Linked DNA regions of Astyanax mexicanus. The protein of the gene in region 2 purifies or fractionates together with the protein of the main gene of each other region. This does not show direct contact. Links are inferred from orthologs where the notes say so. Each region holds a gene or a part of one and is shown on either strand. Other genes may lie near its edges.

Region 1 (7,958 bases), about 34 Mb from region 2:
CACTGGATCCGTAAGAACTTTCTAGGGTGAAAACTACTTGAATTATGTATTTTAAACAATTAGCCTGTGTATCTAAGCCTGTGCTTAATACTCTAGATATATAAACACTAGTAACACTTAACAAGGTTACATTAATTATCAGTACTAACGACAAAATGTCCCAACTAATTATTAATTAACATTAGATAAGACAGTTATAACATAGTAGGTAAGACAATGTAATCATTACATTTTTTAAACTAATGTCTCAATTAATTCATATTTACATTCTTTATATATATATATATATATATATATATATATATATATATATATATATATATATATATATATGTTTATTGGGCAAACCATAAAAGTAGTACAATCAAGTATATATCAATTACAAGCCACAAACCCCCAAACCACCCACCCTCAGCCATCCCACCTTCACCCATGAAATGAGAATAACTTAAGACATTATATGAAAAGGGCATGGTGGTCTATACATTACAACTTACAAAGATACATAAACACAAATAAATATGCATGTTAAACAAAAACAAAGTAAAACAAAGATATAAACATAATTAAATAAAACACAAAATAAAATACATAAACAAATATTAACTTATAACTAAAAGTATAAAAAAAGGGGAGTGTCACTAATCTTCAGTGTCAGATTGTTGGTTGATGTTTTGTGGATCATAAGAAAGGAGGGGGTCCCAAGTTTTCTAGAATGTTTTCAAGGATCCTCTAATTGTATGCTTAATTGTCTCTAAATACAAAAAGGACATAAGCTCTTTAAACCAGGATGAAGAGCCAGGCCATATTTACATTCTTAAGCAATCAAATTTAACAATGTTTATTCATGTCTTAACTAGTGTTAATAATTAGCTTAGGCATTACTTAACAATTTAACATTGCTTATTACTAAAACATGTTTACAATACAGGTTACCAAAAAAAACAAAACACAGACAATTTTAAATGTTACAAATGTTACAATTTTTATATTTCTATAAAGAATTAATACACATTTTGACAGCGTTTTTAAGCTTCAATTAAATAGTCTTTAACCTTTATTATCGGTGAAAACAGACACCTAAATAAAATAAATAAATAAACTGAAATGTGATTATACAGGAAATAAGAATACATGAATTATCATTTTTGGTCAGCTTTATTTTAACTAACCTAAAAAAAGTAGTAGTTGATGTTCGTTTTTAGATTAACTGTTATGCTGATATATCACTATCATAAAAAAATATTTTATTTTTTGGAAATATATGTTTTTTTTAAATATCTGTAAAAAGGGGTCTGTTAAAATCACTGCTACTCATGAAGATTTATGGAGCATTTTTACGAATATTTTTGGCGCCCCTGCTGCCAGATTGCTGGGGATAATTTTTTTGTCATGTATTGGTTTAACAGTGTATAAAATAATTTGACATTATTTCTCGTTCTCTTCTAGAATAACCCTGAGCACCAAAGAGAATGGGAGATTGGGGGTTTCTCTCGAGTTTACTGGACAAGGTGCAGTCCCACTCCACTGTGATTGGGAAGATATGGATGAGCGTCCTCTTCATCTTCAGGATCCTGGTCCTGGGAGCAGGAGTGGAGAACGTCTGGGGGGATGAACGATCAGACATGACCTGTAACACCAACACGCCCGGTTGTGAGAGCGTGTGCTACGACTGGAAGTTCCCCATCTCCCACGTGCGCTTCTGGGTCTTGCAGATCCTCTTTGTGTCCACTCCAACTCTACTGTACCTGGGCCATGCTATCCATGTCATCCACCAGGAGAACAAGCTCAGGGAGATGCAGAAGTCCAATCAGATAGTGAAATCTCCGAAATACACAGACGAGAACGGCAAAGTGCGAATCAAGGGGAGGCTGTTGGGGAGCTACCTGACTCAGCTGTTTTTCAAAATCATCCTGGAGCTGGCTTTCATCGTTGGGCAGTATTATCTATATGGTTTTGTGATGTTTCCCAGATTTCTCTGCAAACAATCGCCCTGTCCGTTGGAGACAGAGTGTTTCATGTCCAGGCCCACAGAGAAGACCATCTTCATTATCTTCATGCTGGTGGTAGCATGTGTGTCTCTGGCCTTAAACGTGCTGGAAGTGTGCTATCTGTGTTGCAGGAGGATGTGCAGACGACCTAAATCTAGAAGTATGGTGCACTACAACCCACAACACCATTACATGCATCCTCCCTCATTTTCAATAGGCCTAGAAGCTGTGGAAAGTCTGAAGCAGAACCGTGTGAACACCAGCATGGAGAGCAAATGGGCCCAGAGGAGCAGCAGCCCTGCTGCTCATGAAGAAAAGGCTGAACTGTAGAATCGTGACATATGAGAGCAGTGTTTCTCTATCCTGGTCCTGGAGGCACCCTGCCGTGCACATTTTAGAGGTTTTCCTCTAAAAGACTGAAATGTAATTAATCTGTTGAATCAAGTGTGCTGGAAGCAGAAAAAAGGCAATAAATGCAGGAAGAAGAAGGGATGCAGGGTTCCTCCAGGACCATGATAAAGAAACACTACTCCACAGCCACACATCTGAAATGCATTACTAAAGTCTTACACTAGAGGTCGCAGTGCACCTGTTGAGTGAGATGAACTCCTTGGTGTTACAGTGTTACAATGTCTGAAAATCTGTTTTGACCAAAGTGTTGTATTCAAAAGCCTCAGACATATATTTCTAGTACTATTACTCTGCAATACACTTACTTTACTTGTGTTTTATATATTTACATATGTTGCAAATGTGTTGAATGCCCAAATATTTGAGGATCATGTGCAATAAAAAAATGAAACAAAATTAATCATACATATCTATATAATTATAATCATATATAAATGTATACATAAATATTTCTTAAATATGAGAAAAGCTGATGTAACTGATGTACTGGGTCACGCTGTGCAGTTAGTGGAGCATCTCTGTTGGTGTGTTATACTTGAATTAAAGTTTCAGTGTTTTATCATTCCCAAACAAGGGTATATATGGCAGAAATCAAAGTGATGAAGGTAGATATTTCTTTTTTAAGAGAAAATATTAACTCTAACCATGTGTAAATGTCTGTTCTGACCGAATTGTTGTTTTCAGAAGCCTCAAAATTCATATCTCTTCTGCAATGAACATACTTTTTTTACTACTACTATCATTTTTTTTTATATTTGAATTTGTTCTAAACGTGTTTGATAACCATATTTTCTGTGTTTCAATCAATAAATATAAATAAAAAATATCTAAATATAAAAACTGATGCAAATGATGAACTGAGAAAAACTGATGCAATTGATGAACTGAGTTACAATGTGCAGTTTAATGGAGAATCTCTGTTGGTGTGTTCATACAGTACCAGTGAAAAGTTTGGACACATCTCATTCAATGATTTTCTTTATTTAAAATGTGATTAAAACCCCCAATATATTTCATTACATACTGGTGGACATGTTTTATTATTTTATCTTAAAGGTAGTTAAATTTAAATATGTTAGAACATTATATTCATCTTATCAGTTATTGGTATTGTGTTTCATGTAGGTTTGGTTTGCAGATTACTTCACCTCGATGCAGAATGTTGAACTAAACTCTTCCCCTCATTTTATTTGATGGATGCTTCTTTTGAGACATTATATAAAAAAAAGGTATAATGAACATAATGTAATTATGAAAAAAATGGTTTGTTGCCTGAGGGCAACCCCATGCCATAAAGGATTCATGTATTTTCTACATTGTAGATTAATACTACATACATGGAAGTTATTAAAACTACTAAGGGGCACATATGGAATTATGTAGTAAACAGTAAAAACCGCTATTCCTCCACAATCCTCTGACCTGAACCTGATCAACTGAGATGGGGAATTTTAAGATTTGGGATGAGCTGGAGCAGCAACTAAAAGCAGCAACTATAACTGTTGTTCAGCACCTCCAGAAACTCCTTAAAGACTATTCTAGGTTACTACACTGAGATTAAAATCTCAGTGCAGATCTGTCCTTAAAGCTTAATGTGCTACTTAGAAGAATAAAACATAGTCTGGTTTGTTTATAACATAATTCCATGTGTTCATGGATAGCTTTAATATTAAATTTACTATATAAACATATATAAATAGAAAGAAAATCATTACATGAGCAGAGATGTGTCTAAACTTTTATCTGGTACTGTAGCCTGCATAAAGTTCTGCATTAAGTTTTAAAAGTTTTTTTTTTTACAGAGAACAAACTCTATGAAATTAGTTGATAAATATTTTTTTATGGAAAACAAATGAGATTCAAATCAACAAGTTTCTTTTCCAGGAGAAAATATTCACCAAAACTCAGAGTAAGGAGATAAAAAAACTCTGACGTAGGGGGTCACATGACTTCTGTAACTTTGGTGCTTGCTCACTTTTCTTTTTTTTTCTTCTCACCGCCGCACGAAAGTCTCTTATAAGCGAGGAAAGTTTGACAAGTGTGCCTCAGTTTCTCTTGGTCCCCCCGAGCAGGATTTGGGAGAAAGCGGTGTGAGCTCTACAGAAGTGACGGAGAAAGTCCCTCAGGACTCTCTTCTGCTTCTCGGTGACTCTCCAGGTAGGTGAAGAAGACTTTTCTCCTGACTTCTTCTAACTTTTCTGTCTCTCCTTTTTACAGTTTTCACTCGTTTTTTTCTGTACTGGAAAGCCGAGTGCGGCTCTGGAGAGCTGCTTTTCCACAGAAACTCCTTACAGCGAGTGCGGCTCCTCACAGCTGCCTATATTTAGCTGGATGGCTAAACCATCAAAAACACTACATTTACCTTCAGGGTGTTTGGGTTTGGCATTTCATTCACGCCTTTTCCTCTCAGACTGGGCTACGTCCTGCACTGTGAGCGAGAGGAAGCCTTAAAAACACTGGAAATTATCACAGAAATACAGAAAGAAACCCTGCATTTTCTTATATTTGGCTTTAGGAGAAATACAACAAATGTGAATATTATTTTTCACTGGTTTCTGAAACCATCGGAGCAGCATCAGCACTGAGAACTGTGGGGGGGGCTAGGCTAGCTAAGTTAGTTAAATTTTTCTGAGATATAACAAAAATACAGAAAAAAAAAAAAAAAAATATATATATATATATATATATATATATATATATATATATATATATATATATATTACATAGAGCTTTATAATAAATGAGATTATTCTAGGAATCATTTATAAATGACACTAAATTGAGACCATTCTGTCTGGAAAAAAAAGTTTAAACCACATGTGAGACACATAATTATGATATAAAAAAAAGGTGGGTTGAAGAAGCAGAAGAAAAGTGTTTCAATCTCACATTGGCCTCCAACACGACTTAACCATGTCTATGAGAAATAATAATACCAAGAAGAGAGCTCAGAAACGTCTCATTAAGTCTTAATCAAGTAATAATACTTTAATAAGCAAAAGAATAGTGCTTCAATTTTACATTGTTCACAAAGAGAACTTGTCTATGAGAAATAATAAGCCTAACTTGAGTATATCTTTCCTCTAAAGTCTCATAAAGTCTTAATAAATGCTTTAAAAACTAGAAATATAATTCGAAAAGTACTGATTTCTACAAAAAGTCTCAGAAAGTCTTAAAAAGTGATCTCTACAAATAATAGGAAGTCATGATTTATTATTTCAATCTGTTCTGAGCATCTCCATGTTTTAGCACATTTTAGTTTTTCTCTCTAAATTCAACATTTAATCCCTGGAGCAGTATAAAATCCCGCTGCTGTTTGCTGTCTGACCACTGGCTCATGTTCTCAGCTCTAATGCTGAGCCCTGGCTCGCCCTCCACCACCCCTATGCCTCTGTCTCTCTGGAGAACTTCTGCTTAAATCACAGACTACTGAGACTCATTTAGTTCAAGCGCTTCTGTGGATTCTGACAGGATAAAGCAGCAGTTGGGCCTAAAGACATGCATGTTTCTATAAGAGCAAAAGGTTTAAAGAGCACCAGAAAGTCTCGTAGCATCTGCTCTGTTTGTGGAGAAAAAATGAAAAAAGAGGAAGAGAAACAATCCGTGTATCATTCGTTCATTTGATATTCAATTGAGAATCAAAATCGGAAAATTAAAAAACCAATTCGTTTTTTCGTTTTTTCGTTTTTGAATATAATACCAAAAAACGAATAACGGCTTGTATTTTGTATTTTTATTTGGTTATCCAAACAAAAATTGGAAATTTAAAAAACGGACCAGGAGCCGAATTTGATTTTGATTTTGAACTTGACCCATTTGTGTGCCCCGGAAGTTACTGATTTGTTTATTCTTGGTGGGTTTCTGTTGCGCGGGAGTTCACTGCAGTGTTATCTACACAGTCTGTATTGCTGTAGGCAGCATGGCCGGACTGGAACCACATTCTGGCCTAATTAAAGATCTTTTTGAAGGTGGTAAGACGCATGAAGAGATTTCGTGCACGTTGCAGCAAATGGGGATCCAGCGATGTTCTGCAATGAGTGTTAGAAGGTTCTGTGTTCAACACGACCTTAAGCGAAAAAGACATGTATTTTCTGTTGTCATATCGTCTTCTTTCACTGCAACGCGTTTAGTTCCTCTGAACAAGATAAAACTCTCCATCCTCAACTCCATCCAAAGCCTACAGCAATACAGACTGTGTAGATAACACTGCAGTGAACTCCCGCGCAACAGAAACCCACCAAGAATAAACAAATCAGTAACTTCCGGGCACACAAATTGGTCAAGTTCAAAATCAAAATCAAATTCGGCTCCTGGTCCGTTTTTTAAATTTCCAATTTTTGTTTGGATAACCAAATAAAAATACAAAATACAAGCCGTTATTCGTTTTTTGGTATTATATTCAAAAACGAAAAAACGAAAAAACGAATTGGTTTTTTAATTTTCCGATTTTGATTCTCAATTGAATATCAAATGAACGAATGATACACGGATTAGAAACCCACTGTCTCATCCCCTGGGCTAGGCCTGTCCCGATAAACGACAATTATTGTCAGTTGAAGACCATTTCATGCCACTAATATAATAATGATAACAGCATGATAATGCAAGGATGCATTTCTTTTAATGAGCAGGTAACTTAAAATTATTAAGAATGCTTAGACTTCAGAATTTGAAATATAAAATTAATATTACATATCTTAAACAAATGAAATATAGTAAAAAATAATAGAGCTACTCTTAAACCAAGTCAACTAGACTAGAACTCTTCTTACTGTATGCAGTATTAAGGGGAATATACATATTGTATTAATAATGTAACTATTGTGGCAGGCCTACCCTAGGTGTTTGCCGTCTACACATTAGTGAGATAAAGGCAGAAATAGCCTTTAGTTTGGTTTTTTTTCTGTCTTGTTGTGTGTACTGAGTTTTAGCTTTAGTAGCATTTATTTCATGTATCATTCCATTGGGCTACTTACAGTCTTATATTATATTATATTATTATATATATATTATAGCAACAAAAGAGATGAGATATACTATATGATTCAATACATTACAAGATTATAGTGAAGAACAGCATTTTTAAGACTATATTACACCTACAGAATAAGCCTGTCAAGACTTATTCTAACAAGTTGGCATTGATGCTGTTTTTGTCCTTTTGCCAAATCACACAAGTTAGAATAAGCCCTTGCCCCTGCAAAAGGCCCTTGTACACTAGTTATAATAAGCCAAGGTTTGTAGATCAATCATGAAATAAGGCACCTATTGTGCCTTATAAAATTCATACAGCTTTCTGTACATACATGCATGCATACTGTTTCTATATACACAGTATGTACTACTATAACAGCATACATTATTAATGTTCTAAAAGTGATAAAAACATGATCATTACACTGTTCAATTAGAAAGAAATACTTAACACCTCTCAACACTTTCTGCTTTTTACATCATTGTGTATTTTTGATACTCATAGACTTTGGAATGTCACAGGTTTAATTTACAGGTTTTTCATTCTTTGATGAAAGCATAGAGGATACATTTAATTTGTTT
Region 2 (8,153 bases):
CACCTGTAAAACTACAGTGAATACACAAATAATCTATATAATCTGTAATCTATAAAATAATAATTCTAAATAACAAAATATATAAATAACCAACAAAGCCAGTCAGATCCAGGAAATTATTGAATCAGTAAATAGAGGATTAATCTTCAGTTTTCACTCAACATTAGAGCTTAAACACTTAAATTTGTCTATACAATCAGGTATACAGGTAACCTCATATTCTTTGATTATTTAATCTACTCTGAGTAAAGCAATCAAACGTATCAATCTTAAATTTAACACAATATAAATAATGACTCATAAAGGGCTAACATTTTTTCATTCATTTAAAATCAAACAGAAAGTTACCTCAGTGTACACAAAGATTGTGTAAACATATGATACAATGTTCAATAAACAGCAGATTAAGATAGCTTTCATAAACAAAAACACCAAATTATCAAACAGCATAATCAAATTAATACGTACCCAGAACACCGGTAAAAACAGAGACGGTGTATTATGTATTAAAACTTTATAAATAAAACTTCATTTCTTTTTACAATTCATAAGACGTACTAAGATGTACTGAGCATAAAAAAAACACTACAAATGTAACCAATAACTAATCAGTTATTGGCCACTATCAAATTACAGCATAGACAAAATACCAGTAAATCCACAAACAGTATACTATTAACATGTACTGTGAATATCAAACATTACCCCTTTTTTTTTCGTCCACATTTTGTAAACAACTATATGTTGTAGTTGTTTTTCTATTTTCCTTATTTATTTATTTGTATAGATTTTTATATACGTAGTTTAATTATGACATACGATTTATATTTGGTACGTATGCCATGTCTATTGGACCTGTAGGAAAATAAAAGAGAGGGTCCAGATAAAATAATAAAACAAACTACTAATATCTAACACAGGGAATCTCTCATCTGCACAGGGATGGACATTTTAGCAAGCTGACAAAATAAAGCAAAAAACTGAATAAAAAATAGTGTATGAAAAGTTGGCTGGTTCTCTCCTGCTCCTCGAGAGAAACACAAGGGTTTATTTTAATCAAGTTTATGTATTTGTTCATTCATTCATCTGTAACTGCATACCTTACATTTTTATTACCTTTAACCTGTAAATTTATAATTCCAACTAATTTCTTATTCTTATTATCTCATTTGTTTGAGATGTAATTTTAAAATCTTATTAAAATTCTGGGTCTTTATTTATTTATTCATTCTTTTTCTTTGACAGTCCCTTACCTGTGTACTGGCTTGGCTACATTGTAAATGAGTGAAACCCTCAATGTATTTCGAGTTTAAATAGACAGATTGAACCTGATGTTTATTAAAGATATAGACCTACAAAATGTATTACCAGCTCATTAATCTGCTTTAAATCCACATTAAAACATTAGTAACCAACCTAACTAGCTAGCTAACCATCACTGTTAATTAAATCCCCATTATCAACAATTAGCAGGTTAACCGGCTAAAACCGTGTTTATATCGCTAACTAGCTGCGTTTGAGTGAAACATCAGTGTTCATATAGTGAATTCAGGCCTAATTCGCCTCCTTTTGGACACTATAGGTGAATAAAACCCTCTAAAACAGGGGAAATGACTAAGTAAAAATTAGCAGCTGAGTTGTAGGGCTAGAACCTTCCGTAGCTAAGCTAACGGCTAGGCTAACTCAGCTAATATTAAGCTAATGCTAACAGCCTAGCTTACTTAGCGGTAGCCAACCGAGCTCGATCTGCCGTCGCCTCAGACAGTGCGCAGAACAGCCGCTACCCTCTCCAGAGAGACAAAACGAGCACTTATGAAGCAAACCTGCCGTGTTTAATCGCGTTAAACTGATAATAAAGGGTTAAAGTAGCGATTAAAACCTTTACACGCACAAAAAGAGGTTGTTTCAGTAGGAAGGAATAGCTAACTAGCTACGCGCTGCCGCCATAGAAGCTAGCCGGGTGTCCTGTCGATTTGTGCTACCCTTTCGAAACCTGCTACCACCGTCTAGTTACAATGTACACCTTACTATAGATAAGGCTGTGTAACCGCTATAAATAAATAAAACAGTCTTTAATATGGGTTATAATACTCAAAAAGGGTAAAATAAGCATATTACAAATTCCTTTTAAGCGGGAAAAAGAGAAATGTATATAGGTTCTCAATCTAAAAAGAATCTTAAGTAGCTAAAAGCCCGGAGGAAAATAATAAGCTAATTAACAATAAAAGGATAGAAAAGTGCAAACTATATACAATATATAAAATCAAATAAAGACTTATTACTAAGACATTATAAAAAGACAATACAAAACGTAAAAGAAAATTAAAAGAGAAAAATATAAAATCTGTCAAAAAAAAAGTACAATGAGGCTACCTAGCTAAAATGAACTATGAAATAAAAAGTGAAAATGAAAAGTTAAAATAAAAAAACAAAAACAGCTACAAGCTGAGTGGAGGACAAGTTTAAAATGATTTTAATTAAAATCGTGAATATAAGTATAGTATATGCTATGGGTTATAATGTTTCAAAATGCTAAAATATTTCTCAGAAAATCCTATTAAGAGGACAAATTGTAAAAAAAATATATATAGCTTCTTAATCTAGATAAAACAGATACAAAATTTTCTTAAGTAGCTAAAAACAATAAAAGGAAGGTGATGTTAAGTGTAAATAAAATAAAATACATAAAATCAAATGAAGACTGGACATTAAAATCAACAAATAAAAACAAAACAAATGATAATGGAATAGTCTAAAAGGCAAAACGGAAAATAAAATGAAACAAAATGTAAAAATACAATGACAAAAGCTACAACAAAGTATAAAATAAAAAATAACGAACATAAATAATAAACTAAATAAACTAAAATGTAAATAAACCTAAATAAAACAGTTACAAACTGAATGGGGTGGATAGAAATGAAGTTTAAAATGATTTAAAAACAGAATCATCACGAAAAACACGTCATATGTCTAAAGAACAATTCGTCCGCGCATGCGCAGAACGCTTGAGCTGCACAAATTCGACGGCTAGCAGAACTCGACGGAACACCAGGTATGAACTGAGAGCCAGGCCGACTTTCTCCTCTTCATTTTCCTCATAAATGCTGCGTTAAATCCGCACTACCCACTCAAAACCCGCACACACCAGTTAATAAGGAGTGTAACATTAAAGCTGTGTGTTCAAATGTGAGTTACACAGACGGTTTCAGCCCGAAAAGCAGCGCTGAACTGATCGCCGCTGATTCTGGATCAGCCGATTCATGTCGGACAGCTGACTGAGCCGCTCTCACACACACAGCTACACACCCGCACACACACAGCTACATGTACACGAACACACGGAGCGGCGGCGGCGGCCCGGGTTACCTGTGAGACGGACGCGTCCTCGGATATGGCGATCTCCTCCTTGTCCTTGGGCGTTTTGACGGTGACCATGATGATGGTGCCGCCGGTCGCCGCATTCTCCTCGGATTTTCCCTCCACGGCGGGGTCCGCGCCGCTGTTCTCCGCCATCTTTTCTCTGCTCTCTTCACTTCATCACGTCACCGCGAGAAGAGCCGCGAGAGCAGCGACAAGAGCGGACCGGAAACAGCGCCCCCACGCGGAGCCGCGCGCGCCCAGTCACACTTTTACACACACACACGCACACACACATATACATCTCTAGAAAAAATAAGAGACCACTTAAAAACTTAAAGAGTTTCTCTGAATATAATTCAGAGGAAGACGGATGATCACAAGCCATCAAAACAAGATGAACTGCTTGAATTTTTGCATCAGGAGTAAAGGCATAAAGCTATTCAAAAGCAGTGTGCAAGACTGGTGGAGGAGAACATGCCAAGATGCATGAAAAACTTTTATTAAAAACAAGGGTTATTCCACCAAATATTGATTTCTATACTCTTAAAACTTTATGACTATAAACTCGTTTTATTTGCATTATTTGAGGTCTGAAAGCTCTGCATCTTTTTTGTTATTTCAGCCATTTCTTATTTTCTGCAAATAAAAGCAAATTTATTTGGAATCTGGGAGAAATATTGTCCGTAGTTTATAAAAATAAATAAAATTAAACCACAATGTTATTTTTACTCAAACATATACCTATAAATAGCAAAATCAGAGAAACTGCATTAATATTACATTAATACACTTTGTGACAAAATATGAAAAAAATAACGAATTACATGTACTATGGGTAAATTTACTGATATTGACTTTGGTTACTTTGGCAATTTTTGGCGTTAAGCGTATGTTGGCCTGATGTTGGATGCAAACCGCTATTTGACACTGGACCTATACTTTGGTTGTCAATTGGTGTTTAATATTGGGCCTATGTTGGCCTGATGGTGGGTGCCAACCGATGTTTAATATTGGGCCTATGTTGGCCCGATGTTGGGTGTCAACCAATTATTAATATTGGGCCTATATTGGCCTGAAATTGGGTGTCAAACAATGTTTGATGGAACTAAAATAAATAAATAAATACAGAATACGTTCACGCATTAAATACACCATTCTGAAAGCAACAAGATTTTAATTATAATGGTTGTAATGGTCTTTGTACACTTTTTAAATGAATTTAAAACAGTTGAAGCACATCAGGAACAAATAGTTCTGTTTTATATGTTTTTTTTTTTCTATAATGGGTAAAAGAAGGCTCATGCTGATATTTATTAGATTCAGTATAAGGGGATCAGTTTACTTAAGAACATTGCCCACTCTGCCCTGTAGATGGTACCAGTACACCATTCACCTTTCCACTCACCAGTACCATAGCACCATCTCTTTACTGTAGGCAGCATGAGGTCAGATTTTGCTAAGGTAGAAATGTAGGAAGGATGCTGGACCTGACCAAGTCTTTTTCAGCTACAGTAAAGTTCTGTGCAGATTCATTTTGCACTAGTAGTTTTTGCACTGCAAATTTAAATTATTATATAACTATGTATTTGCACCTTTTGTATGGCTGGCATCAGTTACCCTCATAATATGCACATCAACTGGTGTTCATTGTCTAATGTGTTCAACTGCACTACCTCCATTACACACTACTGTACTTATACTTTATATTTCATAGTATTGTTTTATTTTATCCTTCCTTACTAACTGTTGTGTATTGTGTATATCTGCTGCTGGATGGCCAAAAGTTCCAAAACTATCTATCTGTCTGTCTGTCTGTCTGTCTAACCATTTGAACCCTAGGCTGTTTCTATCTAACCCTATGAACTCAGGTCTTATAACACAGTAATTATATCAGACAGTCACATGCCCTGATCTCTTTTACTCCAGAAGACATACGACTGCTCAAAAATATAATCATTTAAAATGTAAAAGGGAACTGATCATGTTTTGGTCAAAATTTTACCAAGTGCCTGTTTTTTTTTTTTTTTAACTTATTTTTGAATCTATAGACTTTAAAATATATTTACACCTGAGATATCTTTTCAAAAACTGTTAGACTAGAGTGTTTATGAGTTAAAATAATAAGAATATTGATGAAAGTTCATTACATAGCTTATTATTTATTACTTTAACAAAATACATGGAGAAACAGCATCAGGTGGATTTATTTATCTTGATAATCAATAATCACACCTCTAGGATACATGTAGATACTAAAAACCTGACACTCAGAGCAGACTATGCCTTTCAGTATTTTAATCAGGACACACAAAGAAAACTAGATACAAAAATGTAACTTTTCAGTCTAAATAAATAAAAATGTTTAGTGCAAAATAACTACTTAATAAAAATGTGCAAGTAAAATAAAAACTATATAAAGTAGTGCGCACACCATACCTAGCTTTAGTTTGAGTAAAGCAGGTAGTTTCACACTTTTTTTGTGGACACTTTTGAGTCTTTATTTATTTGGTTTGAAACATCATATAAATGTGTTTGAAGCACTAAAGGTAAATAATAGTGGTTGGGGCAGGAGATCCCACTTTATTATGTGTTTTTCTCAATGGGTTTTTTGTAGATGCTACAGTAAGTACTGGGATGTGATCACTATTTTTAGAAAGAGTAAGTTCTTCCCTTTCTAATCATATATGGATTATGTTAATGTGTGAAGGGATTCCTGAGTAATTAAGCTGAGAACACAAGGTGCGATTTTGGAAGGAAAATTCGTCCATAGGGTTCAAAGGGTTAAAAAGTGCAAAGGGCATACTGTAAATAAACCAATCATTGTGTCACTCGCCATTCCCTTTAAGAGCCAGGTGCGCTCTGAGTTTGGCGGATTGGTATTTTATACCAGCGCTTCTGCGCTTTTCAGCAGAGAAAACTGACTTGTTTGTTCACGCTGTACAGATGTATGAGCAGATCATTTACAGAAACAGCAATGTTGTTATTATTATTAATTATTTTAATAGTATTTAGTTTTTTGTTGATGTAAAAGTTGGGAAATATGCCAGAAATTGATCTGAACACACCTCACTTCCAGACCACCAATACAATTTTAGAGTGGCAGGGAGAGTGAGTGAGGGAGAGTGAGAGAAAGAGTGAGTGAGTAAGAAGAAAGGAAAGAAAAAAGAGACTGGGAGAAGGGGGGAAGGAGAGAGAGGATGAGAGACAGGGAGAGAAATAGAGAGAGAGAGAACAAGACAGGAAGAAGAAGAAAGAGAGAGAGAGAGAATTAGAGAGAGAAAGAGAGAGGGGAAGGAGAGAAATAGAGAGAGAGAGTGTTCCAGTGTGGCGTGTGTAGACGGGTCTTACTGTTCTGGAGGAAGGTTTACACAAATATCTTACACGAAACTCTGAGATATTGCTTTTATTAAGAAGCTGGACTGTTTCATAACTACAGATGAACTTAATCTTGAGATTACTCAAGAATGCATTTATCAAGAAAATTCCCAGATGTGTTATTGCTCTGTCTTAAAAACCAAGGACAATATTTCAATAACCTGAGAGTGTAGAGTATTATTTAATATCCTTAAATAGCAAGTGCACTGCATATATTGGTCCTATATTCTTGTGTTCTACTGAGTTTGTTCTTGTAAGGTGATTTCAGTCCAAGAACAAAAGTACATTTTTCAATTTTGTAATAAGAAAAAACCCAGACGTCTATGGGTAGAAGTTGTTTAGGTAACTTAAGAGGAAACTATGCCATATTAATAAAGAATAAACCAATTCAAAAAAGCTAATTCTAATTTTGGATTACATAGATAACTTTAACCCTTGTGTGGTGTTCATATTTTTGTTACTCGTTTACTTTGTTACTTGTATTTAATTCAGCAAAATTAAGCAATTAAAATGCTTTACACATGCTCGCTTCACCTAAATTGCAAGCAATATAAACAGCTTACATGGTTAATATTTGCCCTTTACCTTTCTTATGTTACATTTCTTTCAAAAAGTGCTAATCTTTTTTATTAGTTTAATAAAATGTAAAAGAAAATGAATTAAACTCAAGATATGAGTAGAAAATTTGTTTAGTTTCAAATTTACAAATGAAGCAATGTTTATTAGCCCTTGGCCAAACAGACTGTATGTAATATAAATGTGTAGGGGGGGGACAGTGTGTGTTTATCGAAAATGTGTTTTGATATATGTTTTTCACAAAAAATGAGCCAATGCCAATGAGTTTGAGTTAGAAAAAATATTTTTTAGTATCATTTGATGAAAAATGAAAACGGGTCCCACAGACCCGAACACCACACAAGGGTTAATAAAATAGCAGGAGTTGTTTTTTCTTAAATTATTTGGAATTTAAGAAATGTAAGATGTTCAGTTTGGTGCAGTTTATTTCTACCACTGTTTGCAGTATACAGGTATTAAGAAAATAAATAAAAGTTAAATATATTTTTGAATAAAAAGTACTAACTGTCAGCTTTTTGATTACTTGATTACTTTCTCTGTTTATGTCTACATATGATTAGCAGCAGTTATCAAACATTTTATTTATTTTATTTTAAACAAATGGTGCTATTAGTTCTGCTTTCAAAAAAGAAAAATGTTGGAAATGGGTAAAAAATGGGTAAATTTTATTCTTCTATTTTGCTAGCCTTAGCATGGTAATATTTTAATAATAGTGACTAACCTGAGAGTGTAGAGTATTATTTAATATCCTAAAATAGCAAGTGCACTGCATATATTGGTCATCCGTTCTTGTGTTCTTGTGTTCTACTGAGTTTGTTCTTGTAAGGTTATTTCAGTCC

Evidence for each region. Proteins that work in one complex are often made in the same cells at the same time.
Region 1: the proteins of ubqln4 (region 2) and gja1b purify together in Homo sapiens (affinity purification with western blotting; 3 studies listed by BioGRID). This does not show direct contact. The link is inferred for Astyanax mexicanus from reciprocal best matches to the Homo sapiens genes UBQLN4 and GJA1.

Annotation. Positions count from the first base shown.
Region 1 is NC_064408.1:81,831,489-81,839,446, forward strand, and holds the start of gja1b (gap junction alpha-1 protein), read left to right. Parts: upstream 1-4,404; 5' UTR 4,405-4,559; intron 4,560-7,958. Other genes in the region: gja13.2 (gap junction Cx32.2 protein), read left to right, coding at 1,473-2,321. UniProt on the Homo sapiens protein: Gap junction protein that acts as a regulator of bladder capacity. A gap junction consists of a cluster of closely packed pairs of transmembrane channels, the connexons, through which materials of low MW diffuse from one cell to a neighboring cell.
Region 2 is NC_064408.1:115,871,788-115,879,940, reverse strand, and holds the start of ubqln4 (ubiquilin-4), read right to left. Parts: upstream 3,551-8,153; 5' UTR 3,517-3,550; coding exon 3,370-3,516; intron 1-3,369. UniProt on the Homo sapiens protein: Regulator of protein degradation that mediates the proteasomal targeting of misfolded, mislocalized or accumulated proteins.